Linked DNA regions of Neurospora crassa OR74A. The protein of the gene in region 3 interacts with the protein of the main gene of each other region in a pairwise test. Links are inferred from orthologs where the notes say so. Each region holds a gene or a part of one and is shown on either strand. Other genes may lie near its edges.

What was found.
Region 1: the proteins of NCU02978 (region 3) and NCU03219 interact in binary tests that used the Saccharomyces cerevisiae proteins (3 or more experiments, as listed by UniProt). The link is inferred for Neurospora crassa OR74A from reciprocal best matches to the Saccharomyces cerevisiae genes SLA1 and KEX2.
Region 2: the proteins of NCU02978 (region 3) and pph-3 interact in a two-hybrid assay, tested with the Saccharomyces cerevisiae proteins (3 studies listed by BioGRID). The link is inferred for Neurospora crassa OR74A from reciprocal best matches to the Saccharomyces cerevisiae genes SLA1 and GLC7.
Region 4: the proteins of NCU02978 (region 3) and NCU04724 interact in binary tests that used the Saccharomyces cerevisiae proteins (3 or more experiments, as listed by UniProt). The link is inferred for Neurospora crassa OR74A from reciprocal best matches to the Saccharomyces cerevisiae genes SLA1 and LSB5.
Region 5: the proteins of NCU02978 (region 3) and NCU02781 interact in a protein complementation assay, tested with the Saccharomyces cerevisiae proteins (2 studies listed by BioGRID). The link is inferred for Neurospora crassa OR74A from reciprocal best matches to the Saccharomyces cerevisiae genes SLA1 and ARC40.
Region 6: the proteins of NCU02978 (region 3) and NCU06171 interact in binary tests that used the Saccharomyces cerevisiae proteins (3 or more experiments, as listed by UniProt). The link is inferred for Neurospora crassa OR74A from reciprocal best matches to the Saccharomyces cerevisiae genes SLA1 and PAN1.
Region 7: the proteins of NCU02978 (region 3) and NCU04790 interact in a two-hybrid assay, tested with the Saccharomyces cerevisiae proteins (2 studies listed by BioGRID). The link is inferred for Neurospora crassa OR74A from reciprocal best matches to the Saccharomyces cerevisiae genes SLA1 and SUP35.

The regions. Positions count from the first base shown.
Region 1 is NC_026501.1:4,941,484-4,945,616, forward strand, and holds the start of NCU03219 (Kex2), read right to left. Parts: upstream 2,801-4,133; 5' UTR 2,623-2,800; exon of another isoform or gene 2,573-2,622; 5' UTR 2,227-2,572; coding exon 503-2,226; intron 443-502; coding exon 1-442.
Region 2 is NC_026503.1:2,384,687-2,388,725, forward strand, and holds the start of pph-3 (serine/threonine-protein phosphatase PP1), read right to left. Parts: upstream 2,801-4,039; 5' UTR 1,838-2,800; intron 1,690-1,837; 5' UTR 1,532-1,689; coding exon 1,352-1,531; intron 1,249-1,351; coding exon 847-1,248; intron 767-846; coding exon 467-766; intron 405-466; coding exon 376-404; intron 287-375; coding exon 271-286; 3' UTR 1-270.
Region 3 is NC_026501.1:8,519,965-8,524,180, reverse strand, and holds the start of NCU02978 (cytoskeleton assembly control protein SLA1p), read right to left. Parts: upstream 2,801-4,216; coding exon 2,603-2,800; intron 2,462-2,602; coding exon 1,018-2,461; intron 956-1,017; coding exon 1-955. UniProt on the Saccharomyces cerevisiae protein: Component of the PAN1 actin cytoskeleton-regulatory complex required for the internalization of endosomes during actin-coupled endocytosis. The complex links the site of endocytosis to the cell membrane-associated actin cytoskeleton.
Region 4 is NC_026506.1:549,716-553,975, reverse strand, and holds NCU04724 (VHS domain-containing protein), read right to left. Parts: upstream 2,801-4,260; 5' UTR 2,133-2,800; coding exon 2,118-2,132; intron 2,056-2,117; coding exon 1,663-2,055; intron 1,605-1,662; coding exon 1,152-1,604; intron 1,100-1,151; coding exon 943-1,099; intron 890-942; coding exon 573-889; 3' UTR 217-572; downstream 1-216. Other genes in the region: NCU04725 (N-acetylglucosamine-6-phosphate deacetylase), read left to right, coding at 1-106; NCU04723 (hypothetical protein), read left to right, coding at 3,432-3,469, 3,530-4,260. UniProt on the Saccharomyces cerevisiae protein: Essential for the organization of the actin cytoskeleton, fluid phase endocytosis and vesicle trafficking, together with YSC84.
Region 5 is NC_026501.1:9,216,037-9,219,718, forward strand, and holds NCU02781 (hypothetical protein), read right to left. Parts: upstream 2,273-3,682; 5' UTR 2,049-2,272; coding exon 1,826-2,048; intron 1,743-1,825; coding exon 900-1,742; intron 833-899; coding exon 792-832; 3' UTR 501-791; downstream 1-500. Other genes in the region: NCU02782 (hypothetical protein), read right to left, coding at 1-56; NCU02780 (U2 small nuclear ribonucleoprotein B), read left to right, coding at 2,841-3,125, 3,190-3,501; NCU02779 (hypothetical protein), read right to left, coding at 3,680-3,682. UniProt on the Saccharomyces cerevisiae protein: Functions as a component of the Arp2/3 complex which is involved in regulation of actin polymerization and together with an activating nucleation-promoting factor (NPF) mediates the formation of branched actin networks.
Region 6 is NC_026503.1:1,749,685-1,753,835, reverse strand, and holds the start of NCU06171 (actin cytoskeleton-regulatory complex protein pan-1), read right to left. Parts: upstream 2,801-4,151; 5' UTR 2,600-2,800; coding exon 1-2,599.
Region 7 is NC_026506.1:822,350-826,643, reverse strand, and holds the start of NCU04790 (eukaryotic peptide chain release factor GTP-binding subunit), read right to left. Parts: upstream 2,801-4,294; 5' UTR 2,688-2,800; intron 2,607-2,687; 5' UTR 2,378-2,606; coding exon 2,047-2,377; intron 1,986-2,046; coding exon 181-1,985; intron 126-180; coding exon 69-125; 3' UTR 1-68. Other genes in the region: NCU04789 (RanGTP-binding protein), read left to right, coding at 3,342-3,521, 3,617-3,651, 3,731-4,294. UniProt on the Saccharomyces cerevisiae protein: GTPase component of the eRF1-eRF3-GTP ternary complex, a ternary complex that mediates translation termination in response to the termination codons UAA, UAG and UGA.

The DNA.
Region 1 (4,133 bases), about 3.6 Mb from region 3:
AAGGGCGGCGGAGCCGTAGACCCAGACCATGGTGGCGGCTGACTTGCCGAATGTGGGCAGGAAGGAGGGCAGCCAGGTGCTGTTTGCAGGAGTGGTGGTCTCCGAGGTTTGTTCGTCAGAGGTGGGCGAGGGGTTGGGGGCGTCGGTGGGAGTTGGTTTCGAGTTGACGGGGCGGTTGGGATGGTCGGACACGGTGCTGGGCTTGGTGTCGGTGGCGATGGGTTGAGGTGGTAGGGTGGTCGTGGTAGCGGGGAGGGTGGTCGTGGGGATGGCGGCGTGGTCGTTGTCGTCTTCCTCGGTCGGCATCGGGAGTACCTTGGCCTTGGAGGCGTCCTTGCTCTCGCCCCAAAGCTTTAGATGCCAATCGGTGAAGACGCCCTCGTGACTGTTAATTTGGGTGTCTTTAACGATGATTGTCCAGTTACCGACGCCGGTTTCACCCCTGGTTATGTACAGGTTAGCAAAGATTACCTCGGATAATTGCGGTAACGCGTGCGCTTACCAGTGAACGACACTCATGAATGTCCAGTCATCATAGCCAGCGCGGGCCTCATCGTTCTTCCGGCTGACCGAAAGATGGCTGACCAGATTGTTAGGGCTGATGAGATCAACACTAAGATCTCCTCGTCTAGTATGCATGATGTTCATGGTAACCGTAATATGTTCCAGGCGCTCGACGTTGGCCTCATCCAGCATTGCCTGCGTAACTTCATAGCTGACGGCAACTCCCGTGTCTCCCTGGGGAATTGCTTTATTGACATGGATCCAAGGAGAGTAGAACCAGGCCTGAGGCTTCACCTTCTTCCAGGTCTTGGCTGCCTGAACAATGGCGTAGCTGTCGAGTTTGCCGTAGCCATACATATGGCTGAATTGTTTGCCAATAGCAGTCGTCTGCCACTCGCCGCTGTCAAGGTTGATAGGAACAGCAGTGTTCACGGTAAGATACTGCATATCTCTCCATGAGAGATCTGGGCGAACCTGCAGAACAAGAGCAAAGATACCAGCTGCGAGCGGAGCGGCAGCTGAGGTACCACCGTGAGTATCAGAACAAGCATTCCCAACGTCAGTCGTGTGGATCGAATCACCACCGCCGCTGGAGTATGTCACGACCAGATTCGCGGAACACGATTCAGAGTAATAGGGATGGTCGCCGTTTCTGTCAACGGCTCCGACGGTGATGCTGTAGATGCTGTTGGTGTAGCCATCGAAATTGCAATTATCTCCGTTTCCTGCACCATTGCCGCTGGCAAAGACATAGATTGAGCCCAGCCCACCACGGCCCTTCTGGACGGCATTGAGCATAGCCCTCTTGATGAGAATTCCGGGAGCATCCATACTCTGCCCGTCATCAGGGGGTCCCCAGGAGCACGAATAAATCTGATTGTGCTGAAAGTCGTAGTTCATAGCAACGGCTTCATCAGCGTCAGATATCAGCTTTGACAAGATACGCAGGCCGGCAATCCTGGAGTCATATGCTACTCCCACACCGCAGGCTTTGTTCTTCCCGGCCGAAACTTCACCGGCACAGCGAGTTCCGTGTTTATCGTCGCTTAATCGGGGCTTTGGATCAGGACCCTTGTCGTTAAAGTCCCATGACCCTTGGGCATAGTAGTTGTCTTTCAAGTCATCGGTTTCCATATCCAAGCCATCGTCGACAATGGCGACGGTGGCGTTTTTTCCAGTGACGCCTTCGAGCCAAAGCCCGGTAACATTCACGTCGTGCCCAGTCTGGACAGTGTTGAAAAGATGCCACTGCTCCTTGAATATGGGATCTCTGATGCCCAAATTCCCGATAACTTCGTTTTGCTTCTTGACTGCCCAGTCAACCTCTTGATCGGAAAAGAGACCCCTTCTAGAGGGTCCTACTGGTCGGGGGACCATGCGCTTCTCCCAAGGTTTCCGCAAAATTTGCTTCTCTGAAAAGAGAACACTATCCAGAACATGGGGCTCGTCGCCTAATGATCGTTTTCGGCGCCGGCGCTCCGTCAATTCTCTCTTGACGATATCGTGCTCGGCTTTCCTCCCAACAAAGAGATGGTGATCCTGGAGTTCACCAAGGGGCCCCTCATGAGACAATCCTAGGCTCCTGGCAACTTCAGTAGGTGACGTTCGGGCATCGAGATGAAGAACATAGTAATCGTTCGAATCGAAGTCGCGGGGGAGGACATTGGACGCTATAGCCAGAGCGGCCAAGCCCAGCGGCGTTGCGATAGCCGAGAGCTTCATAGCTGAGTTCGGGTAAATGATCTGGAGCGGCCCAAGGTCGGTCTACTTCGCAGGGGATGCGCAAGGTTGTGTAAGTGTTTTCAGTTGGTTGCGGTGTCGAGCACCAAAGACGAATTTGTACGACCGGCTCGTGTAGGTATATAGAGACAAGCAGAACAGTGTCTTATTCGATCTCAAATATGGCAGAATAGTAGCGCCAGGGATAGCAACGGTGTTGGCCAATAATCAGAATGATGTTACGAAGACGGCATCGGCTCCCGGCGACTGAGAAGAGACTGGAAGGTCGAATCGAAAGCTCGTCCCTGTCGAACGGACATGGAGGCTTCGCGCGGAACTGGTCAGACAGCTATTTATTGCATAAGCAACGGAATCAAGGAGGGAGAGGGCACAGCATACAGGACGAAGCCCAGTCGCGACCGTAGCAGCGGTCGAGAATCAGATAGGCCCACTGAGCAATCCTGTATAGGCTGGGAATGAAAAAGGCGGCACAGTTTCCCCGTCTCACCACAAAAAAGATTAGGAAGATGGGTTGATTTGAAGATGGAGAATTCACTTGTTGGAAGTTCAGTTCGGCAATCTGGCGATGTGGCCTAGTTGAAAACCATCCCGCCACAGCGCAGGGGTAATGCACACAGACGGGCTGCGCAAGTGGCCCGGGCAACAGGCTGGAACCGGTTGGTACCTAGGTAGGTAGGCAGGTACAGGGCAGCTGCCAAGCGAGAAACAACACCTCCAGGGGCAGAGAGAAGGACGGAACCTACCTACCTCAAGAGGTATGGACCCTGAATGAGGCGGCAGTTCTGGTGGGGCCGAGACTCTAGGGGCCCCTTGTAAGGGGGGCCCGGGCCCCCATGGGGCAGGAGCAGTGTCAGCATTCCACATGTATTCTGCGCCGTTACAAGATGTTGATTTACACCCCTCGACACCATAGAACCGTCTTTATACCAATCATACCTTGTCTTGTTGGAACGATCACCGAGATTTACCTTTGCTCAGTTTTCCATGTTCAAGGCGCTGCTCAGGGATGGGGTTTCGGTAATGTTCCGTACCTAGTGCACTGTCAAACGTCCCATCTTCCGGGTTTCGTCTTGTCTTCAACCGACATTCCAGCCGTATTCGCCATGCGAGACAAGACGAAACTTTGAAGATCATCTATGCTCAAAAATTCCCACTATCATCGATGGTATCTTGGGGAAAATTTAGTATACTGTGCATATCTCAGCCTTTGGTTCCGACACAGATGGTAACGACGACAGCATTTCCATTGACGCCTCCCATATCATGCATGGCGGTAGAGGTGGACGGTCTTCACGTTGCCTGCGGAAAACAACGTGGCTTCGAAACATGTTTGTGAAACGAGGCGTTTGCGTATGGGTTGGGCCTTTCCGCTTTCTCACCTCAATAAGGATGAATGGCTTCTATGATGGTGTTGCTCCCTTGGTACTCGTTCGGCATTGTCAAAGAATCGAAGAGGCTTTACGCCAACGCCAACGGGCAGGTCACCGAACCCGGCCAAACAACCACAGACAACTCAAAGTCGTGTAAAGGGAGACTGAAGGCAAGATGGTGGGCTGTATCGATGTGAACCACTATACCTACCTACCTACCTACTTCTTTGTTTTGCCTCTAGTAACCTCAAGCAATCTTCTACTAAGCAACGCGGCGCTTGTACCAGTATCATGGAGCCGTAAAGGTAGGTACCTCTGGTTACCCAGTGGTACGGCTCTTAAGCGTCATGTATAAGACAAGTACCCCGGCCACCACTCTCCTGGGACAACCTGATTACATACCACAACACTCCGGGCACTGTACAGGTCAGTGCTGACTCTGTAGGGCCACGTTCCGTCGTTAGATGCTCAACGATGTCTTTGTGCGGGCAGTCGAGCAGCATAGCAAGTTCCTTTCGG
Region 2 (4,039 bases), on a different chromosome or scaffold from region 3:
TCATCCCCCGAGATATAAAAAGATTCCCTTTCCTTCCTACCCTCTCGAGTTGTGTGGAGACCGGACGGATGGAGAGACAGGACGGGCAGACGTGGCTTTCGTTTCGTTGGCACGGCAGGAGGGGCGAGGACCTCCCCAAAAGAAGTGGTCGGAACAGACGGCAGACGGGATGATGGCTGGGAGCCCTGGCGATCAGGAAACATGGCGGCGGTAGACAAGCTGACGGTAAGATACTCATGTTCGTTGCGGGCGGGCGAAAGTATCAGACGTTTATCGGCGGCCGAACCTAAAGGAAAACGGGTGTGTTCGTAAGAAAATTCTTTACTTGTGCTTCTTGGGGGTCTTGAATTGCTTCATCTGAGACTGGGAACGTACTTCTGTTTCTTCTCTGCGGGCTTGAGAATCTGCAAAGGGGGTTAGCAAGAGTGCAAGGGTCTCGGAGCTTGCCAAAGTCAGAAAAACATACCTGGAAAGAGCAGAGCAAACTTTCGTCGACGCTCATCATAGCACCAGCGTTGTCGAACTCGCCGCAGTAGTTGGGGGCACTAAACAAAGTAACGAGCTGGCGCTTCGAGAAGAACTCATATCCGTCCTCAACAACCTGGTGAGCACGGCAGATCAAATCCATGTCGTGTTTTTGGAGGAAGCGAGAAACGACATCCGGGCCGAATGTGAAGGAAACACCACGATCGTTTTCGCTCCAACCAGTAATGTCCTTATCGGGATCCGACCACAGGAGATCGCAAAGAAGACCGCAGTCAGGAATCTGGCGCTATTGTTAGTGTCTCATGTTACGGCAACTAGCCTGAGCAAACGGAAAGCCCGGGCATGAATGGTGTAACGTACGTCAGTTGGTCGCATGACTCGGCGGATCTGCTCCATTGAGTTCAGATCCGGGCTCAAACCACCGTGCATAGTGAAAATCTTCTCGTCGATAATGGCAGCGATCGGTAGGCAGTTGAAGCAGTCGGTGAAGGTCTTCCAAAGCTTGATGTTGTACCTCCGCTTGCACTCGTCGTAGAAACCATAGATACGGTTGATGGACGCGCACTCGTGGTTGCCACGAAGGATGAAGAAGTTCTCGGGGTACTTGATCTTGTAGGCGAGGAGCAGGCAGATGGTCTCCAGGGACTGCTTGCCACGATCGACGTAGTCACCTAGGAAGAGGTAGTTGGCCTCAGGAGGGAAGCCACCGTACTCGAAGAGGCGGAGGAGATCATAGTATTGACCGTGGATATCGCCGCAAATCTAGGGAGGTGGGGCACGACGTCAGCTATGAACACTGCCGAAGGGGCAGTATGGCGCATGCCGAGGCTATGTAAAGGGATAATAGAAAGAACACAATGCTTACCTTGATAGGAGCCTCGAGCTCAAGCAGGATGGGCTGGGAAATGAAGATTTCACGGGCCTTGGTGCAGAGATAGCGAATCTCGGCTTCCAGCAGCTGCACCTGCTTACCAGGCCGGCTGCCCCGCACCTCCAAGAGGCGGTCGATTATAGAGTCGAGGTCGACTTCGGTATGGTCCGCCATTGCAAAATCCTCACCAACCGGAGAGATACCGCGCACAGGTTTTCGAAGTCACGGTAACGACCGACAAACCCCAGCTAGTCGGATGGGACGGGTCTAAAAGAGCGGCACGCGTAAGGAGTAGGAAACTGGGGTAGATGCACTTCTGCAAAGCTAAACGACTAATTCAAGACGTTAGACATTGCCAATGACGACGCAGATTCTGATTGGGGTTTGCCGCACGCGATCGCGATGGCGGGAAAATGAAGGAGGAGCGACGGCTGGGCAGAGACTGGGAAGCCGCAATGTAACGGCAGTTGATCAACTTACGCTCAGAAGCGATCCCAGCAAGAAGCGATTGTTGGGGGTTTTTTTTTTTTTGGAGAGGCGAACGCGTTCTCCTTGGGAATACAGCAAGCGGTGATTTTTTTGGTGTTTTTTTTTTCTGGAAATAGGTATTCTTTCGGATACCGAATGTTGTGCTTTGGTTTTAGTAAATCGTCACTGGGTTTGGCGGAGGTGCGAACGGTCTAGAGCAAGCGCAAGCAAATCTCGTCGGAATTGCGAAGAAATCGGTCCGGTAGTACGCGGCGACAAGAGGGTTAGCAATGATGGAAAAAGGAGACGGCTCCAGAAGTCTCTGATCGTCCTTTGTGAGGTAACGTGTTTTTTTTTTTTTGTCGCGCGGACGGGGCTGGGGCAAAACGCCGTGTCGTCGTCGAAAATCTGGGTTCGAAAAGGTCGGGTGTAGAAGGGGAGTTCAAGTAGTCCTGAGACTGCGGGAGAGGCTGTCACTGCCACTGCCAAAACCACGGTCGGGAAAAACTGGTCGATGGACTGCCCGGGAGAGTGCAAAGTGCTGCAGCGAGGTGCAGTACAGAGCGCTGGGCCGGTCGGAGGGTCGCTGGAAAAAGCTGCGTCTAATTGAGCGACGGAGGCCAGAAGACGAGATACCGCGAGATGATGCCTATGATAATAGGACTTCTATCGCCAGGGTGGGGTTGAAAATGCGCGTTCTTTGTGGTTAAAGACGTCGCCCTGTTTTGGTTGGGATAGAAAGCGTCGGGAGAAAAAAATCAACGTCGGTGGTGGTTGCTTAGAGACTTTTGGGAGGAGACGGACAAGCGCAGACGCTTCCACTTGGGCTGCCCGCTGCTGGGGGGGGGGGGTCCGGCCGGGCGATGGGCTAGGTAGAGGTAGGTAGGTAGAGAAGACTGGCGACTGGACTGGACGGGGACGCAGAGAAGGGATTGGGCTACTGGGCCGATGGAGCAGCAAGATTTACACGCACGCAACGCAGCTAATGAAACGCACAGGGCTTCCAGACTACCTACTAGCAGTGGAGAGCAGTAGGTAGAGGTAGGCAGGCAGGTCCAGGTCCAGGTCCGCGTTCTTTCAAGCCCAGGTCAGGTCACCTCGGTGCCTGCCAGTCAGGTTATCGTTACAACAACCACAACAGGCGTCCGGTCGGGTCGGGTTTCGGTGCAGTTGTGATCTTTTCCGCCGACTGGGCTCTCATCCACATCGATGGAATGAACAGGACAGCACTCAGTGACATGGAACGAAAAAAACTCGAAACATCCGACGCGATGGCAGGCCAGAACAACCCTCAACTTAAACTCAAACATACCTACCTACGGCTGAAATAACCCAAACAAGGACAGGCTCAGATTGGGTGAGCTAGGTTAGGTAGTTGGTACCTAGGTTGCCAGCCAGGTAGGTAGGTACCTACCTAGGTTTCGCGCCCGCTCTGAATCTCCGTCAGATCCTGGCCGAGCCCTTGTGCCCTTTCCAGTTGCAGTGAAGCGGCCCTTCCAACTTGGCTCGAGAAAAATTGCATGCACTCGCCTCTGGGGAAGCAGGTATGATGATAGGTCGGTCCATGTTGCTCACTAACGCGACTGGGTAGGAGCTGCGCTGCCTTCCCCCGCAACTGCGAGCACTTCTGTTAGCAAGAGTCCCGAACACCGGACCCTCCTTGGCAGGTCTAGGCCTGGGATTGGCTCGCCTAAAAGCCGCTTGCGATCCCGTTGGTGGGTGTCGCCTGGAACTTCCATCTCTCCCAACCCTCCAACTTCCCCCTCCCTGTGTAGAGATAGTGGACTGTGAGTGTGACACCTTACCTGGTATGTACACGGCAATAGCAAAGACGGGAATGCCTTCTTGGTCGCCTTGTTGTTACTTTGCATTGGTATTCCGGCTTTGTCCTCTTTGCTCGTTTCCCCCCACCATCAGCATCAGGTTCCGCAAACGCAATGATAGGCAGGGCAGCCTGGCTACATGGCCTACACCTAGATCAGGCACAAGCACCCGGTATGCATGATTACAACAGCTCGAAGCGAAGGAGTATAAAGACAGGTCGACAGGCAACGGATATCCAGTCAACAACGAGCAAAATATTCGAGCGACTCAGCCGCCGACGTGTATCCGCAAGATCAGTGAGACTGGGAGCTCGACAGCAAATGCGCAAAGCCTCAGTCAGGCTGTCGAGAATCTTGGGCATCTTGGAGATCCAGGTAGTCCTCTGCGGTC
Region 3 (4,216 bases):
AAAGGCTGGGTAAGCAACGACAACTCCTGCATCGACTTGGTAAGAGCCGCCGGCGGAGGGGGGGCCGGCGCGTCAACCAGAGCTGGCGCAGCAGGGGCTGGAGCGGCAGCGGGTGCCGCCGCAGGAGCGGGAGCAACGGCTTGCGCAGCCGGCTCAGGGGTTTTCGTCTTGGTAGGCTTGACATCCCAAGCATCATCATCAAAGCCACTGGAAGGCTTCGAGGCAGACGGTGTTGGCGTAGCCGCAGCCGTAGGAGATGATGACTTGCCACTACCAGCACCCGAGTCCTTAGAGAAAGCGTTGGGATCAACGGTGTTGCTGACCTCGACGGGGGGCGCCGGCCTGCCCTTCTTCGTGTTGTTGCGGAGCGCACCTCCTGGCCCAGAGAAGAGTCCTCCCTCGCCCTCTTCGCCTTTCTTGTTCCGCATGTACTTGTTGTCCAGGTACCGCATGACCTTGATAATATCACCTTCACGCAAGCCCAAGTTCCTCAGCACAGTAGCATCAACATCTGGCAAGACACTTTCGTCGATAGCCTCCCGCAGGAAAGCTTGAGAATACCGTTCGCACAAACCAACCTGTATGTCACAACCAAGGAAGAAGTTAAACCAGTCGTAGTCGGGCTTCTTCGAGGAATCGATGGTGGCGCCAACCCGGGAGCTGGAACCACGGTCTCTTTCCCTGTCGCGCGTCGATCGACTAGACCTCGAAGACTCACCGGCGGATCGCTTGTTCCTAAGATCGGATAGGGGCTTGTCTTCGTCGAGAGATTCGCCAGTTACGCGCTCCACGTACTCGAGATCCTCAACTGACATCTTCGAGACGGGCACGGCGATCTGCACACCGTTCATCTTGTGGAGCCTGATCTTGCCATCCTTGACACCGAGGAACTGGGCCTCAACGCTGAAGGACTTGGATCGATCGGTCCATGTTCGCACTTTGGAAGGATCGGGCTCTGCGACAAACTGTCAGTATTCTGCATACTCTGAAAGAAAATCTGGACATGGGTGTACTTACTCGACTTGCTTGACGACTTGGAGCTGCTGTTCTGACCGGGTTCGCGCCTACTGCTTCGCTGTTTTCCTCTCCTGTTATCATCTGTGGCCGGCAAACTACTATTTCGTTCTTGCAATTGCAATCCTGGGCCTACCTCAGAGTTCCTCTTCTGCTTCTCCTTCTCTTCCTCGCGCTGGGCAGCCTTGATAGCCTCCTTGGTTAAGCGCGCCTCTTCCAGGCGGTTCTTCTCGACTTCCGACATGCCCACGGCAATACCGGTAACGGCCGTCTCCGGCTCTTCCCACACGCCGTTGATCTCAATGTAGCTGCTGGGAACCACACCCTCCTTGCCGTTCTTGACGCGACGCACCATCCACCACTCGTCACTCTTGGTATCGTCGAGAATAACTACCTCATCACCAACGCCGACAGTAACCTCGTCCTCACCCTGAGCCATAAAATCATACAGCACAGCACCCTTCTTCTTCTTGCCTCCGGCTCCCGCGGCAATGATCTCCTTGAGTCCCTCGAGGCGCACAGTTCCGGCCATGTCGCCCAGCATCGCGACGATCTCTTCAGCGGTGTCCTTGGCGCCCGCATGAAAGTCAACGCTCTTGCTTGGTCGTACGAGCTCCATAAACACGTGCTTGCCCTCCCGAGAGTAGTGTGTCATGCAATCGGCCCGCCATTCCTGCGATGGACCGTCGTGGGAATGTTCCGGCGCTATGAGAATCATTCCCGTCCTCAGGTTGATGCCCAGCGTGGTAGGCATCTTCTTCTTCTTGCCCATCACCGACGTCATCTCGTTGATGTTGTACATGTGGAAACCGCCAGGGGTAAGCGCGGCGGTCTGAGGAGGAGGAGCCTGGGAGGTTCGCGGGCTAATGCCATAGTCGTCGGTGTCGTGGGCTGCTGACTGAGCGGGCGGCGGCACCGGTCTGTAGGATTTTTGCTCCGGAGCAATTTGCGAATCGCCCCGCGGGCGGCTCGGAAGCGGCGGGGACCTTACCTCATTTTCGTAATCTTCCGAAGCGTATGACTGTCGCTGGGGCTGGGGAACACTGATAGGCGCTGGAGGTTGGAAAGAAGAGCGGTTGGCCATAACTCCGGCGATGGCGGCGGCAGCAGGGTTGGAAGCGGCGACAGGGGTGCTTGGCTCGGAGGGCACACTCCTGGCGGGCAGGGGCGGGCTGGCTACATCGACGCTGACGCTGGGTGTCCTCTGCGGAAGAGGAGGAGGGGGGGCAGTCGCTTCTTCCTCCTCCTCGACCTGGCCAGCCTGGCCATCGCCCAACTCGATGTAGTTGGCGGGCGCGAAGCCGTAGTCGCCATCGTGGCCAACAAGGATCCAATCGGGGTCGGAAGTGTCGAAGACTGAGAGCTGCGCATCCTCGGGGAAGGAGAGCTCTTCGTCGGTCTGACGCGTGTACTCGTAGAGCGCGCGAGCGTATGATACGGGTTTCGCCTGGCGTCATGGTGTGCGCGGTCAGTTCAAGTGATCCATCTGAATGCCAAGGCCAGCCAGCTTGCTATCCTCCAAGCAGGTACAAGTGCCCAGATGACACTGCACGCAATCCAGATCTAGACCTCGGACCACATTACATACCTCCTCAATGTAGTTGTTGGGGATCAAGCCGACGGGCTCGTCATCGTCGGCAGCATTGGCCTTCTTCTTCGCCTTCCACCAATCGTCCTCCTGACTCTTTTCCAACACATAGAGAATGTCGCCCTCGGAGATTGTCAACTCGCCCTCGCCCTGGGGCGTGTAATCGTAAATGGCCCTATAGACGCCGAGGAAGCCCATGGCTGCTGCGGGAAATCTGCTCGTATGATGCCCTTTGGATGGCAGCCGACATGAACCGACGCAAGGGAGTTGCTGTTGCGAAGAAAGGAATTGGGGAAAACGAAAGGCGCCGTGGTGCGAATGGTGGCTGGTGGTGTGGTATCACAAGTCTTGGTTCTGCCGGGGAAGGGGGGGTGTGTGTGTGTCCGGTAGGAAATGGAATCAAGGAGCGAGCGGCGGCGGCGGCGGCGGCAGCAGCGTGTGAGAGCGGGTGACGCTGGGTTGGTGACGGGTGACGGGGGTGCGGCGCTGCGGCTGCCGGGCAGAAGGTGAACGAGGATGGAAGCTCTTCTAGAGTGTACGGGTGCTCCTGAAGCAAGGGGTAGCCGCTGAAGCAAGCACTGTAGGTATGCCCGCTTGCGCGTAGGATTGCGGCCGGCCAAGGCCCTCCTGTATGGTACCTACGGATAGGTAGCCTGTAATTTCGAGCGAGGGAACGTCGGGAAGATGTCGACGACAGCGAGCACGCGCGGCTGCGGTGACCCTGCGAGGAATTTGACCTTTATCGTGATCAAGAGTCTGGAGTTGCGGTCGAAATGGTCGAGCCAAGGGAGACGTTGGAAATTACTCTATGTCCAAGTCGTGGACCCAAGTGCTCGTTTAAAGGAGCCGGTCCGGGGGGTGTGTGTTCGGGGGGGTGGGGGGGTTCGCTGAATTTGGGGGAATTTAGACGATGCAACGAAGCGGTCGCGAAGACACCGCGATCTTCATGGATGCTATCACCAAAATGTATATTTATGTAATTGCAATGTCCACGGAAAATCCATTCGAGATCAAATCAAGCGTAGGTAGGAAGTGCACTATTGACCCGAGGACAAATGAACACCTTGTTCGTACCTTACAATTTGAAACCCCAAGAACAGGTACGTAACCTCCCAGCGCTGGAGGTGTATGTACCTAGCTTTTATTTGGAATAACCGCAGCGCATTTCGAGGGTTCAGGTCAACCCCAATGACCGACCAACAACATCGAAGCAAGGTACTGGCGCAGGAACGAAGGATTCTTGTCCAAATTGAACCCGAAAGAGTGAGATCGTGCAGGAGCAAGCACAGCCCAGCCGCATCTCGAGCGCTGCTGGTACGGCATAGCACCTGAATAAGTACCTCGAAAGCGCAACTTTCACTTTGTTACACAGTATCTATTGATTGGCCGTAATTGTGGCTTAATTGTGACAGTCAACTTGGGCTCTTCTTCACGCCCAACTTTCCCATCAATCAATCAAGAAACAGCAGCCAGCTGGTCCCGACCGGCAAACCCGGGCATTCATCAGCGATCTACTGTAACCGCACGTGTAGATAGCGTCATATCCCGGGTTTTCCCTCTTGACATTTGGGCGCTTGGTGGATCGTTCATTTCAGGTCGGGGTCCGCTGGGCAT
Region 4 (4,260 bases), on a different chromosome or scaffold from region 3:
AAGCGGGAAGATAAGCAGAAAGCAGTTGGTTGTTGAGGAGGTTTGGAAATTTGGGGAGAGGGTGTTTGTTAGGGATGGGACTGCTTTGGTGAGTTCGAAATCATAATGGGGAGGGAGTTGGGGCTTGATAGATGTTGAATGCTTTCTTGGTCATGTAGCTTTGGTTCTTTGCAAGGGAGGGAGCAGAAAGTAGAGTGCTGAATGTCTGTTGCCTCGCCATTTGGCTATGCACGATGAATGGCAATGATGGTTCCCGTCCACGAAGGCATGACTTGAAAAGAAAACACCACTCGCTCTCCACTCATAACTGGCCATCCAGAACTCAAAAAGGTATAACTCATTCCTCTCCCCTGAACCGCTAAACTTGGTAAAACAACTGAGGATAATGCTGCGAAGTGTTTCGCTTTCCTGCTCGATCTACTCCTCCGTACTATTACTATCGTCCCTCGCTGTCGCTAAAAATATTTCCTAGACAGGCAAATGGCTATCCAGTAAGCAAGTAGCAACTCAATTCGTATCCATGTCGTATTATCATCACTTCATCCCCGCCATGCTATCCACGTCCACCCAGCCTACGACCACTTGGGCTCGTCACTCTCCACCTTAGGGGTCGAGACAGCATTCCGGTCAGCAAACGGATCGTTCTCGTCCTCATCCACCTCACTATCCTCGTCATCAGACGGTTCCACCCTTCTTGTAGGCGGCTTCAACATTGAGGGTTTCGAAGCCGCAGACGGTCGGGGAGGTGGCGCAGGACGAGGAGGCATTGGTGGTGGGCTCGCAGGGGTGTTGGTGATGCTGAGCCCAGCCATGCCCGCAACGGGGGCGCGGGGACTGCCGGGTACGCTACCACCGGATTCTTTGGCTTTGGCAGCTTTTTCAGTTGCCACTGGAAATTGTTAGCAGGGGAGGGAGAACAACAAAAAGGAGAGGGGAACATACTCCGATAAAGATGTGCTTGCTCAGCCAGATCATCATCCGAGTCGCTGTCCGCGTCAATAGAGCGGTCCAGCTGCTCAAAAGTCATGAGCGCTTGGACGAGTTCATCGTTGGCATGTAGAAGGCCTCCTAGCCATTGTTCAGATTCGACGTGTTGAATCTGCGTCTGTTAGCAGACCGTTCGGCTATGGTCAAGAGACACTGTCACGTACATATCTCAAGATGTTCCTTCTAAGCATTTTGCACTTTTCGAAACGCTCCACTGCAGTTGAGTTCTCCGAAATGCGCTCCTTCTCTCGATTGATGGATTGCAAAGTGTTCATCAGGTTCGTGGAGGCAATGGACGCCTCGGCGATAGTCCTGGTCATCTGATCCTTTTCGGCTTCGAGGTTAAATGGCTTGTGCTTCTTGGATTTGCTGCTGCTCTTCTTTGACTTGTCCTTGCCGGATCGACTGAAGGAGTGAGAATGGCCACTGGAACTGGACACTGTCGGCCTATGCGATGATGAGGAAGATGGGTGTGTGGTTGATGTGTTGGCCTGGGCAGTTGAGGTGCTTGCTGATGGCTGGCGTTCTTCCTCCTCGTCTTCGCCAAAAGGGTTCTCGGTCTCCTTAAGTACCTTGGACTTTTCTTGGGTAACGACTTGCTTGCGACGGGGAAGTTCCTGGAGTGGTGTGAGCGTGACAGGTAGACGTCAAAGTGTAGACTGTAAGGGAGCTTACTCTGTAGAGGTTCGCGACGCGCTCCATGCCGTGAGTGCGGTTGTAGACAGTCCAGTTGCGAAACAATTCGGAGCACTTCTTCTTCACCAAGGGGTCCGACAGCTCGGCGGTGCCACAGAAGCGCAAGCGCTCAAGAAGGGGTTCATCCGCAAAGGAGCGCTGGAAGCGGGGATTCCCATTTTGAATCAGGGCATCGAGGATGGTCAAGGCTCGGAGCTGGCGGTGCAGGTTTCCATATTTGAGTTTCTTGCGAATGGCACGGGCAGCCTCGGTTGGGCCCGAAGCCTGGAGGTTGATAGCTTCGATAAGCTCGGGGATGCCGCTGAGATCGTCTTCGGCGAATGTCTCACTCGTCAAACGTTCGATGTCGACCGTAACAGCCGTGTAGGGCTTCTGTTCTGGGCTGTTAGCGAATGTACGAGACGCAGCTATTGAGGGAACCTTTGGTCGTTTACCGAGGAAGAGAACATTGTATCGTGGAGTAGCGCTAAGCTGATTGCCGTGGTTGCTTCGTCGTAGAAGATAGCAAAGAATAAAGCTCGGGGATAGAAGTCGAGAAAGCTGTGCAGTGGTGGTGGATGGTATGGTTGAAGAAAGGGAGCCAAGCCAAACAGTCGCGTCGACTTTGGGTAAGTTGTTCAGTTATCGTCAGATGGCCGCAGTCGCAGTCGCAGTCGCAGTCGCAATCGCAGTCGGTCGCTAACAATGGCCTGACCAGGAAAAGTCCCTAGTACGACTTATTGATGGAAAGTGTCGGTGGAAGCTCTTCGTTGTCGTTAAGAAGAAGCGCAATCTGTCGAGGAAAGCGCGTCAAGGTAAACGGCAGCAAGCAGCAGTCGTGCCTGCGCAGCAGTGATGTGATGCTGTGTATGCTCTGACTGAAGCTTTGACGAGGGGCGGCTGATGGCGGGCGCAGGAGCGAACAATGGCGGGGTATCGATACGAGGGAGCTTGAATTTCGTGTGACGCCGTGAAACCGGATTCCGTCGCGCCCAGTGTTTCTTTCGACAACCCTTCAAACAAATGAGTAAAATCAAAATCACCGCATCGTCACCAACAGAACATTGCTCTTTCGTGAGCAACCTCACCCAATGCGCCTTCAATAAAGGAGCGAAAAAGAGGGAGCCATGCTTCCTTGACAATGCCCCGGTCGCCGGTCCTTGGCGTTTAGCTTTCAGGCCTCAAGCTCCCTACAAATCTCGGCTCCGGTGCCGAATGGTGGGGCTTCGGTTCGCTACGAAGCGGGGCCAGATTACTTGGCGCCGTCACCCTCCCTGCCTGGCTCACTCCCGTCCGGCTGCCCGCCCGCCCACCAGCTGCCCTCAAGGGCCCGCTGAAGACGTCCAGAATAGGAAAGTACGACTTATACATAGAGGTATACAAGTACATCCATCATCATCATCAGGCGGGCATCAACGCCTCGACGACTCGCACTTGCCAGCTTTCAAGGACAGTGAGAAAATTTCAAACATTTCCACTTCGTTGTCCAGTCTTCGCAAGTCCTCCGTCTTCGACTCTCGTCCGGCCTCTCCTACCATCATGTCCTTTTCAGTCCAGTCGTGTCAACACCAGAGGCAGTTTCCGGTTCCCACCACCCGGTCTCAATTTCCAAAGGCCAATCGGATCCCAATGGCTTCGACCTCGACAATACCGTGACGCGCCTATACTTCCATCAGTATCGTTAGTCTTGATTTTTTGTACCCAATCGGACATTGTCCCTCCAAGACCAGTCAGTCACAGACACAGATGACCCGAGTGTGGTCCTGAATATGATGGACCCTTCCAGTGCGGCAACTTCCGCTGCTCCGTAAGCCCGTTCTCCCGCTTCATGTTTTGGCCTGCAATGCTAACTTGTTCTTATTATCAGTTGTGATGTGTCCTCCTTCTCAACTACCACAACCCTTCCGGCCAATGATGCCGCACCGGTCAACAACGGCGTGGACGGGCCTGGAGCACTTCCATCGGAGCTTTACCATCCGGCTACTTCAGCTTCCCTGAAACGCCGAAACACTGATGGGGACTGCCCAAAGGGCAAGAGAAGGGGATATGTATTCCCATCTTTCGAAACCTTCTCAGAGTATCATGGTTACGATTACGACGACAATGTCGCGGTTGGATATTCGTCATGGGAAGAAGGCGATACCCAAGAGCATATGCTTGTGGACACGATGACCTCCGACCAGGATGGCTACTATTCGCCCCCATACTCCAAATCCGAGCTCTTAGAGCTTTGTGCCAATAACCCACGGGCTGGCAGAGAAGACTGTGAAGAAACGGATGCTTCCTTTTTTAGCAGAGCCATGATCTTTGACTCGCTCACAGGTGGCAATCCGACAACCTACGCAGGCGAACAGGACATCTTCACATACCACAGTGTTCCTACGTGTGATTCTCTCCTGGCTAGAGAGCATGAGGTTCCGTCCGGTGACAGCAATCCAGCGACTGCTGACGAGTACTCGGTCGCATCGTCAGACGAAGAAGCGATGGCGGAGCTGTTGGATTCCTTGCCGGACCCATTCGCACAGATTCCGCCATCCAGTGTCATCAAAGCTGTGGAGGGGAGCTCTACGCCTGAAATATTTGACCCAAGTCTACGGA
Region 5 (3,682 bases), about 700 kb from region 3:
AGAGGGTGTTGGGGGTGGTTGAATGGGTAGTAGTCGTAGGAACTGTTGTGGTCCATGGTTCAGTTTGTTGTTGTTTGGTTCTTCTGATCCCGCTGTTTCTTCTTCTAACCAGACAACGAAGTAGGCAGGCAGGGAAGATGGAGGCAAAGCGAGGTAAGTTGAGTTTGTTTGGATAGCTGAAAGGGACGGAGTGACGGACGGCTGATTACTTATGGTAAACTGCTTTTGAAGCTGAAGGTCTGGATGAGGAGCGAAAGGATATGGAATAAATAATCGACAGGGACAAAACAATGGTAGGTATGGACATGAATTGTGACATGCACTTCTCCTGCTGCCGGTTATTAGTTCTCTTATGATCCTTTTATGGAAGTTATCACGGCAAATCGGAATGTGTCCGGCAAGCCACAAGCGGAAGTCAATGAATTGCTTTGTATGTATTGAACCTGTATTTGTTCTTGACTGTGTGTCTGATTCACACATACATATCTTGCAAAATTGGCCGGGCGGTCATGACAAACGGATAGCTCACTGTGGAGAAGTGACATGATAAGTCTCTGTACAATGGGTGAATGGACAATCAATCACTTTGGCGGATACCGGGAAGCACGGATAGGGCAGAAATCAAAGACCGGGAAAGTTACCCGCTAAACTGACATTGATGGATCTTGACTTTGAATCTGATTCATTATCAGCCATTCACTCTTGTTCCATTAACATTAGATGTTACGCTTGCTTGCTTGGCTTTTCTGCTTCCCAATGTGTGCAGCAACCCTCTTTCATCGAGGGGAAATCTAGGTGTGCCAGATGACGACTCTGCCGTCAACACCGCTCGCTGTTGTGTCAAGTTAGCATCAATAATTCTTGAAACCACAGGTCATGTAAAAATGGGGAACACTCACAACTAAACTTGGTCACCCGTCCACCACTCTCCTCAAAGGGCCTCAACATAGTAACCGTATTCTGATGCACCGTCTTCAACATGGTATCATCCTTGCTGACCTTACCCTTCAGGTCCATCTGCTTGAACATGTTCAGCGCAGACTCCTCTCTGTCCTCGTCACCAAGACCCGGTCTTCCTCCGGCCTTGGCCTTCTCCAGCGTGCCGGCCAGCTGCCACCCCTGCTCGCCGCCTTGGAAGCGGAAAGCCTCGCAATCGTAACCCGCAGCAATGATCTCAGTCTCTCCGTTCCAGAAGAGGCTCATAAAGGGCAAAAGCTGCGTGTTGATGCTGATCACCGCCTTGGGCGGCTGCTCGGGCGCAGAGGGGTAGACGACGGTGATGGAGGAGTCATGCGCCGCAAACGCCAGAGCGTCGCCGCTCGGGCTGAAGGCAACAGAATGCACCCATCCGGCAGAGTTGTTCAGGAACTCGCCGCAGACCGTGTTGAAAGGCAATCTCTCGCCCCAGGGGCTCGGCTCGGGGCGCTGGTCGGTGCCCTTGATGAAGGCGGAAAAGACGCGGGCGTGGGCGTCGGTGGAGCCGGCAGCAAGAAGAACGCTGTTGGGGTGCCAGGCGACAGAGGTGATGGTGGATCGGATCGGCTTCTTCAGGTGCTTGGATACCCACCAGTCGTTTTCCTCCTCAAAGTAGCAGATGGCGATGACGCGGTCGCCGGAGCCGACGGCGAACTTGGCTTCCGAGGGAGACCAGCGGACGAAGGTGGCGGCGCGGGAAATACGGAGGAGCACGAGGGTGGGCTTGTAGCCGGTGGGGGAGGGTTCCCAGACGAGGGCGTTGCGGTCTGTGAGTTGGGGTTGGTTGTTAGTCTAGCTGACTGTGATGGTGGCATTATGGGGTGCCTGGGTTGCGAAAGGGGGGGCCTACCCTGAGAGCAGGTCACAATACGCCCGGTGTTGGGAGCAATGTCGACGCTGGTGACAAGCTTGTCATGGCCCTTGAGCTCATCCTTGAGCTTGAAGGCATTGCCGACTCTGCCGTAGAGCTCGACCTGGGTGTCGCGGGCAATGGCCAAGGTCTGGCGATCGGCCGAGAAGGAGTGGTCGGCGATGGGGTGGTGGAAGAGATGGTGGACCTCGGGAGCAGCCATTGTGGGTTGTTAGGTTGGTGTTGTGTAGAAATAAGGTATGCGATAGGAGTATAGCTCTCTACTACCGCGCTCGGAATCGGGGACGGTGATGACGGAGAGTGTGATCGAATGTCTTGGTTCGGTGGTGTCGGAGCCGGATGTTGTAATTGGAAAGGGGAAGCTGTGCCCGGGAACGGGAAGCGGGAGAGCTCCGTAACTACAGCGGGCTGGACGCCTGAAATGAGGTCAGACCGCCAGGCTCCAGGGGCACCGTTGCGGCAGCGTATGGTGGTGGGGTTGGCTGCGGGTGGGTGACGCCGCCAAGAGTGCCCTGCTGCCGGCCGGGGCTGACCCACCTGGAACTGGAACCTACTATGGTGAGATGGGTAAGTTAAACCCGTGGATCAGGTCGTCGACCACACAGTGCTCACGAAGCTCTGGCTGTGGTGGTCCGTGCAAGATACCTGACAAGGGGGTTTTACTTTTGCTCGCAACCGCAGTACCTCCAACAAGCTGCACCCACGCCCGTGGGGTTTGTGTACCGATTTCGATGGTTCGTAGGCTGGCTGGCCACTGTCTCCAATTTTTGGACCAGCATCTGAATTGTCGACATCGCATGCGCCGCCGCGACTTGAATTCATGATTGAACACTGAACATCATACACCCGAGCGACGACGACGACGACGACGAGACAATTGACGATATTAACCCCTACCACGAGGCGCCTACGATATACTGAAAATCTACGCGACAATTAACAACCTGCATTGGACAAACAACAACAGCATCAACTCCCGGATTCCTACGCGGCAATGGCTACGCGTATTGCTCCCCCCGCGGGCCTCCCCCAAAAGGTGGTCTCGAACCCGCCAAACCAGACTCTCTACGTCACGAACCTCCCCTCAGCTAAGATCCAGAAGGACGACCTCCGTACAGCACTATACATGCTCTTCTCCACCTACGGCCCCGTCCTCGATGTCGTCGCTCTCAAGACCATGAAGATGCGCGGGCAAGCACACATTGTCTACCGGGACATTCAGACAGCAACACAGGCCATGAGGTCACTTGACGGCATGGAGTTTTTGGGCCGCAAAATGGTAGGTCTTCTCGGGTTGAATATTTCAGCGGTAGCCCTTCACATGCTAACTTGGGTTTGCCTAGAAAATCACCTACGCCAAGGGCCGCTCCAACATCATCGCCAAACTCGACGGTACTCTCGTGCCACCCAAGGCCGCCGCCGCCGTGGCCCTCACCACCGTCCAACAGAGTATCTTTAGTGCCCCAGTACCAGGCGCCCCTACTACGAATACCGAGAGTCCAGCACCACAAGGTTCGCCAGCCAAGCCTCCCGGGACGGAGACAACCACACCGGCAGAGGAGAACCGGGGAACGAAGCGGCCACGGGAGGAGGAGGAAGAAGAGGAGGAGAGCGATTCGGACGTTGCTATGGAGGAAGACAGCGACGAGGACTGATGGGTGTCCACTATGGCATTTGCTTCTTGTTTAAGATACCAGCTCGCGGTGGGGAAGGATGACGAAAAATGAAGGCGCAATGAAGCGGATGGATGAAAAATTCGCCCTCTCGAAGGACAATGCAGAAGACGCACCGCTAGCTGCATGTACAACATACACCGCGCTACTCCCACTTCCTCTA
Region 6 (4,151 bases), on a different chromosome or scaffold from region 3:
TGTTCTCCTCTTCCAAGCGCTTGGGGCCATCGGCATCATCATCACCGATATCGATCTTCTTGCCCATCAAGGCAGCTGTCCGCTGCTGCATCATAGCCTTCGCACGGGCCTTGATTCTGTCGGACTCGGTGACCATACCACCCGGGCCAGTACCGACAATGGCGGCGGCGCTGTTAGGATGAGCCTTGGCATCCTTGAGACGGAAGAGCTCAAGTCTGGCGTCAGCAATGGCCTTCTCAGTCTTCCGAACCTGGGACGCAAGCTCTGGGATTCTGTCAGTAAGCTGCTGCAGCTGGCGCTTAAGTGCGCGTCTCTCGGCATCAGAGTCGGCGCTCATCAGCTGGGCATCTGGATGATTGTCAATGTCCTCCTGGATTCTCCGGATACGGCGGTATAGTTCATCGGCCTCGCGGCGGTCGCGTCTGTCAAGAATGTCGTCTTCCTCCATGTTCTTCTCATCGTTGAAATCCATGGCATCAAGAAGTACCTGCTTCTCCTTGATCTTCTTGCGAAGCTGCTCAATAGTCAGGTCATCACCGGAGTTACTAGCCGCCGGAGATTCAGGACGAGGAGACGTGCCCACGCGACGGCGCGCGCTGGAGCGATACCCCACCTCCTCATCGTTGTTCTTGAACACGGTAGCATCCTTGCGGTTAGCCCCAGTGTTCTTGAAAGAGTGGCCTTTAAGATAGCTGACGCCGGTCTTCTGGGGCAGCAACGAGGCCCCAGTGTTTTTGCGGAGCTCGGATTCCTGATGAAGCATGTTTTTGACCATACCAATAGACGCACTGAGGTTTCTCGCAGAAGGGGGAACAAGCTCAGGAGGAAGCTGGTTAGGAATAGGGTAGCCGTTAAGCTTGCGGTAAATCAGATGCATAGCCACCGCAAATTCATCCAAATCCAGGCGGCCCTTGTTTCCATTGTCGGCGAGGGTCCAGATGCGCTCAAGATCAGGCTTGTCCAAGCCACTCTGACCAAAGATCTCGATAGCAGCATCGCCAGCGATGAAACCCTTGTTCAGACCATCCCAAGCCCGGAACAGGGCATCGTACCTCGTCTTCTCGTCCTTGGTGATGGCCCAGGGGATAACGGCATTACCTTGAAGTCCGGCCGTAGTATAATTCCGCTGTTCACGTCCCAGTTGAGGCATCATGCGAGCCTGGAGCGCATCAATGAGAGGCAATCCGGTGGCAGGCGTATTAACAAGTCCCCATTGTCCAGGCATTCCCGTGGGCTGAGAGTTGAGAGGAGCAACCATGCCGCCAGGGCCAGCGTTAGGCGACAGATTTGAGCCAAATCCGGTCGGCATGGGAGGCATGGGAGGCATAGGACCGGCGTAGCCAGTTGGCTGGGGGTTCATTCCCGGGAATCCAGTCTGCTGGGGTTGAAGGCCCTGGTTCTGACCCATGAAACCAGTTTGCTGAGCAGGAAAGCCAGTCATCTGCGCCTGGAGAATCGCCGAGTTTGACGGCTGCGGCTGGGGCTGTTGAATGGTCGGAACGGCCGCCGTATTCTGCTGCGTAGCAAAGCTGGGGGCGTTAGATGCCGGGGCAGAGCTAGAGCCCGCATCGTCGGTGATACTAAAGTTGATGATGTCCACCATGCTCGAAACCTCGTTCTTGATGTGATCAGGTAGGACGCTAGGAAGTGCCTTGCCAGTGATCTTGAGGTTGCAAAGGTACATGGCCAGGGCAAACTCGGGGAAGTGTAGCTGCCCAGACCTTGTGGTATCCGCCAATGTCCAGATTTGTGATAGCGAGTCCCCATCCAGCTTCGACCGCAGAAGGAGATCTCTCGCCTTTTCACCCGACATGGTAGTCTGTCCTTCTCCCACAGCCGACTTGAAAAGCGTCTCGAACCTGGCCTGGTCATGCGCCGTGATGAAAGAAAGGCGGATGTTGGGGATCTTGACGGTGTTGGTCTTCTGCTCGGCCCTCCGTCCCTTGCCCCCAGCCGTCTGGAAAGAGGCGGCCATCTCAGAAAAGCCCGTAGCCTGGGGCTTCACGGGCGGAGGAGGGGCGATGCCACCCTGGGCGGTCGGGGCAGGCTGTTGAGCCGGCGCTTGGATCTGTACGGATGGGAACCCAGTCGGCTGGGGTTGCTGAATCGATGGCTGCTGCTGCTGCTGCTGCTGCTGCTGGAACGACTGCTGTTGCTGGAACTGCTGGGGAATCGCTGGGACAGGAGGCATGCCGGTCTGGAACGGCTGCTGCTGGGGCGCTTGGGGCTGGAAGCCAGTAGCCTGAGGCTGGAAGCCAGTAACCTGGGGTTGGAAGCCAGTAGCCTGGGGTTGGAAACCGGTGAACTGTTGCTGAAGCTGAGGCTGTTGCTGGGGGGCCTGCAACCCCGGGTATCCCGTGAACTGCTGCTGGAGCGGCTGCTGTTGTTGCTGACCATAGCCGGTCTGTTGTTGACCAAAGCCGGTAGGTTGGGGAGCGAACCCAGTCGGCTGCGGCGCAAACCCGGTCGGCTGAGGCTGCATCGGGCCCTGTTGGCCAAACGGACTCGGGGCGCCGTATTGTTGCTGTTGCTGCTGCGGCTGCTGGCCGGGGCGAAGGCTGTTGGCGCCCCCGAGGAAGGCATTCGAGTTCGAGTACATGACGGGCGGTTCCTCCTCGTGTATATTACTAAATGCAATTCGATGGCCCTCGTGTCGGGTCTAGAAGTATCGGACGAGGAAGAGAGGGGCTTGGGGCTGCGGAAATGGAGGCAGCAACACCTGATACACGACGAGGGGAAAAGGGGGTTCAAGGAGCGGAGAGGCAACTGGCGAAAGAGAGGCAGCAAGCTCCTCTTGGTCGGCAGTCACGGAATGGGGGAGACTAGTAGTTGAATTAGAGTAGTGATTATGGTGTAGATAGACAAGATGCAAATGGCAAGTATGGGCTGCGATGCGCCGTGGAAGCGCTCGTGTGATGACGACGACGACGACGACAGCACTGGCGGCGGTCGGGTGTTGTTGTTGTTGCGTGTGTCAGGGTCAGGGTCAGTGTCAAGTGTCCAGGCAGCGTCGGGCAGGCAATCAGTGCGGTGAATCGATGTCACTCATAGTAAACACCAAGGACTGGACCACCACGCCCCGTTCCTTGGTTGGAGCCACTGCAGTTGGAAGCGGGAACTAATAACATGGAAAATGAGCAAATGGAGCTGGAATACCATATGGTCCAATGGATGCTCTCCATTGCTTCTCTTTTGCTCCACCTTTTCCATGCTCACGGCAGGCAAAGAAGCAACAGCGAAGCTTCCAAGTACATGTCAGTGTTGGTAGACTTCAGGAACGGGCGGACTGGGCTCACTAGTAGGGTGCTTGGACCACCCTAGCTACATACGCAGTATGTATAATCCGTGCTCGGCCTCCTCTCTGCCACGTGACAGCTTTCTCCAGCTCCCCCTGAGCACAGGCCACATAAAGGAATGAAGCTTCAAACGAACTGAAAGAAGCTTGGGCCAACTTGACATCTTCAACGTCGACGCCTCCAGGCCGAATCTCCCCTAGCTGCCAAGACCCGAATCCATCGGCCGAGAGCAACGTCGGGGGCTGGCCTGTGCGGCCGAATGGAGCTCCCCAGACTATCGGCTGCTCGGTCACAAAATTTTCCAGACAAGCATTGAGGTCCCCGCGCGTTCCCTCCCGCCGCCGCTCCGTTCAACGGGCAAAAATAGCATGGTCGTCCTGGCTTTCTGCACGGAGTCGGGCTCCTCACCACACCTCATCGCCATGGATTCCGACCTGGAGCTGCAGAGGATGACTCCTTTTATTCCCAGCTCCAGCCAGCCCGGTGGAGACAAGGCCGGTCACATCATCGCTTCGATGGATAGCGTTTGCGTGTCATTTTGATGGCCGCACCAGCTACCAGGACATCGTGTACATGGTGTAAAAGTCCAGAGTCGCCGATCACAGTTTTCATTGGGCCTGTGGTCCCTGAGTGGTGCTGATGCGGGCAAAAACCGGAGCACTACAGCTGGCGTGATGGCGTCCAGTGAGTTTGTTCCTTTTTAACTGGCAAACAATCAGAAGCTTCACAAAAGCGTCGAAAGATTTGTGGGTTGCGGCAACATGCGCCCCACGCCAGTACCCCCGCCTCCTGGTCCCTGATGCTGCGGAGTGGTCAGATGACCCGACCCCATACCCAAAGCTTCCTAACCTAATG
Region 7 (4,294 bases), on a different chromosome or scaffold from region 3:
ATTTTTGACTCGAGCGGTGCAGTTTTTTTGCTCAAATTCGCCGAGAACACCAACCTTCTTTTGGCCATTTAAGCAGAGGTATCGGTAATGAGCTTGGTGATCTTGCCAATAGCGATGGTTTGACCCTACAAAATGTGTTAGTCCAATTTCACGTCAAGCAACAGACAAGAAATAACATACCTGGTCACGGAGGGTGAAACGACCCATCTGGGGGTAGTCCTCGAACCGTTCAACGCAGACGGAGCCGGCACCACCGGTAACCTCGAGACGAGCAATGATGCTGTCGCCCTTCTTGGCGTGCGAAGGAGGAAGCTTGGACTTCCTGTTGGTGCCCTTCTGAAGCTTGTGGAGGAGAGCGGCGAAAGTAACCTCCTCGATGGCGGCGTGAACATGAAGCACGCAGTTGAAACCGGCAGTCAGAATGCTCTTGAGGTCAAGAATACGGATCTGAGCCTCGAAAGCGGTGACGTTGTGGACAAGACGCTTGGGCGAGCAAAGGACGAAACCGGGCATGATTTCTTCTTCTTCGATGCCACGGAGACGGAGACGGACTTGCTCACCGCACTGGGCAACGGGAACCTCATCTTCCGTCTCGCCGTAGACGGCCGAGATTTCAATCGACTGCTTGTTAGGCATCATGATCAAGCTCATACCCTTCTTGATCACACCGGCCTCGATCTTACCCTCGATCATGGTACCCATATCACGGTACTTGCCAGAAACAGCCATCATAAAGGGGGCGTTGACCTTGCGCTCGAGAGAGCTCATGTTGTCGAGGTACTCAAGCAGCGAGGGGCCATCATACCAGGGGCAAAGATCCTTGGGCACGCGGTCCTTGATACCCATGGTCTGCTGGGCAGCGACGGGCATGAAGAAGACATCCGTCTTCAGGTTGTAACCAGTACCCTTCAAGAACTGGGCAAGCTTGGTGGTGCACTCCTTGTAGCGCTCCTCGGACCAGTTGACGGTAGGGTCGTCCATCTTGTTGATGACAACGACGAGCTTGTTGACACCCTGGGTCTTGGCCAACATGGCGTGCTCACGGGTCTGACCGCCCTTCTCGAAACCGGTCTCGTACTCACCCTTACGGGCGGAGATGACGAGGATACCGACATCGGCCTGGGAAGCACCACCAATCATGTTGGGGACATAGGTCTTGTGGCCGGGGGCATCGAGAATGGAGTACTTGCGCTTGTCGGTCTCGAAGAAACCACGACCAACCTCGACGGTCTTGCCCTTGGCACGCTCCTCGTTGGTCAAGTCAAGAGCCCACGAGAGGTACCAAGTCTCACGACCCATATCCTTAGCCTCCCTCTTGTACTTGTCAAGTGTACGCTGGTCGACCATGCCGGTGACGTAGAGAATGGCACCACCGAGGGTAGACTTGCCGGCATCGACGTGACCGATGAAGATGATGTTCATGTGCTCCTTGCCGTAGATTTCCTTGAGGGTATCCTCGTCAACATCGGCGGACTGAATATCCTTCTCAACAGCATCGACGTCGCGCGAAACCTTGTTGCCGGACTTGGCGGCCGACGGGCTGGCACGGCCCGAAGAGGGAGCGGGCGAAGTCCTGCCGCTAGCAGCAGCAGACTCGGTCTTTTGCACAGCCTTGGTAGCAGTAACCTTGGCGGCGGCCTCAGCGGTACCCTCCTTCTTGGCAGCCTCCTTCTTGGGCTCCTCCTTGGCGGGAGCAGTGCCGGAGATGGAGAGAACCTTGGCCGCGGGCTTGGGCGCATCACCCCCGATGCTCAAAACCTTGGCAGGAGCATCGCCTCCAACGCTGAGAACCTTGACGGGAGCGGCAGCGGTCTTGGGGGCGTCGGCCTTTGGTTGCGCCTGGGCAGCGGGCTGCTCTGGCCTCTTGACGATCTGAGGGGCAGGCTTGGGCGCATCGCGGTTCTGCTGTTGCCTCTGCTGGTAGCCCTGGTTCTGCTGGTAACCACCGTATTGTTGTTGTTGTTGTTGTTGTTGTTGTTGGCCTGCTATCCACGTCTATCAGTTAGATTCCTCGATCAAAGACTGTACGAACAAGCGGCGGCCTACCGTAGCCCTGGTTATATCCCTGCTGGCCGTAAACAGCGCCATAGCCCTGCTGCTGCTGGTTGTTGTACTGTCCGTAGCCCTGCTGGCCGTACTGGGGGTAGCCACCGCCGTAGCCCTGCTGGGCGCCGCCGTAATATTGCTGCTGGTACTGGGGAGTGAAGCCGGGAGCGGCGAACTGGCCGGGGGTGAAGGAGGGGGCGCCGGGGGTGAAGGCAGCGGCACCGGGGCGGAAGGTACCAGCGTTGATGTTCATCTGTTGCTGGGTCTGGCGCGCCAGGCGCTCATCCTGGTCGGCAGCCTCCTCCCAGTTGTTCTGAACGTTTCCGGACATGTTGGATAGATAGCGGTCGCGTGTGATTCTCGAGAAGGTGCCGGTAGAAATGTGTCTGGTTTCGGGGTCTCGCTCGTGGGCTGGAGAGTGGTGATAATAAAGCTGATGGTCAGCAAAGATGAATCCCGACTCTGTCGGCTGGGTAGCGACGTGGGTGTGTATAAATAAGGTAGGTCCCTTGCGCGAGGAGGGAATCCTGAAGTCAGGAGATGGAGATGGATGATTTATACTAGAAGACAGAAATGATGGTAAGCTAATGCGACCACAGACAGCCCTATATCAACTGCCTCTATACACCGTAGGTACTTACCCTGACGACGACCTGTACTTGGTTGTAGTACTCTGAGTGACCAGTCCAGTCGGCGCGTCCAACTACGTAGCGAGCGAGGGAACAAGTCGAAGAGAGATTTGGATCAAGAAACCTAACGCTGGCAAGGGCTGTAGGGCCCCACCGTTGATTGGGGAGGGCGTGCAGTGAGTGGTGGCGGGGTACATGACAATTTTTTGTCCCGCTGTCTACTGTGTGCGCTAGGACGGAACTGCCGCCACACACTGTGCGACTCGGGGAGTCACTCGCCGAAGAAGTGCGCCCAAAGCCAGCATTCAGTGGAATGGGATCAGCAGGATCACAGTGCGAACCTCTGCAACAGACTAAACCCCTGGTCTCTCTTGGCACATGCACTGTCCCAGGCCGGGCCGTGAACCCAAAAGAGACCCGGACGAAAAGAAGCCTGGACCCGCCAACCAACGTCACTCTTGAGGACCTGAACGTCAAACGGACGGGACGAACACTAACAATTAGGCATCGCTTCGTTCAAGTTCACTTGCTGCCGGAGAGCATTACAGTAAGGTACCTCTACCTACCTGATTCCGTACATAAAACTATCAAATAGGACAGGAACTGAATATGATATACACCGTACCAATCAAATAACCATCCACACATTCTTAACTTGAGCAAATCATGGACGCACTGTTGGCCAAGCTCGGGTCTCATGCGGTCAACTACGCCATCAGATCAGGCATCGCAATCACTTCCACCTACGCCGTCAACCAGTGCTCGAGGCTGCTCAAGACGGTCGACGACAAAGGAGTGTACACCGAGCTCAAGAAGCTGCAGAAGCTTCTGGATAGTAAGATCAAGGTGAGTGGCCATTATTATTCCGAACCCAACAATGCTAAAGCCCCTTCCAACAAAGACATGACACCCCTTGCTAATACGAATATTCCCCACTTCAGATTGTTTCACCAGCTATCGACCTGATCGAGTTCAAGTATGCCCAACCTACCTCTCTTCTTACTACTTACCTTGTCCTTGGCCCTTACAAGAATGTGACTAACGCTGTGTCCAAGATCTGGCCGTGGCAATGTCTTCCTCGAGGCTGCTGTGCCTCTTGCCAAGTCTCTCCATCGAGACATCATTTCTCTCGGGAAGCGCCTAAACGATGCTGCTACTGCCGAAGAGAGCTCCCGCTCCGATGGCAAGAAAGCCCGCATGTCGGAAGCTCATCATATTGAGCTGCTAACCATTATCAAGGAGATGAAGGAACTACTGGCCCGCATAGACAGAGAGATCCCTCTGATCCAACTCGCCATCACGGCCTCGGGAGAGAGGATGAACACGACAGTGAACGCTGGCATCTCTCCGTCGAGACTGATGCAGGCGAGTGCCTTCTTGTCATTCGGGGACTCACACTTTGTGAACAACCCTAACCGAGCAGTCCCCATCGGGCCTTCTTTCACACTATCTCTTTACATGCTCTTCCGCGGCCATTCCAGGCTGAAAAGTGCCAGTTCCGTTCCTGCCACTCCTAGCACTGGAGGCAAGACATGGACCAGGGAGCCATCATATGGTGTTGGCGAAGGTGAACGGAAACCCATCTGGCAAGAGGTGGTGCACAAGGCTCGTGTACGGCT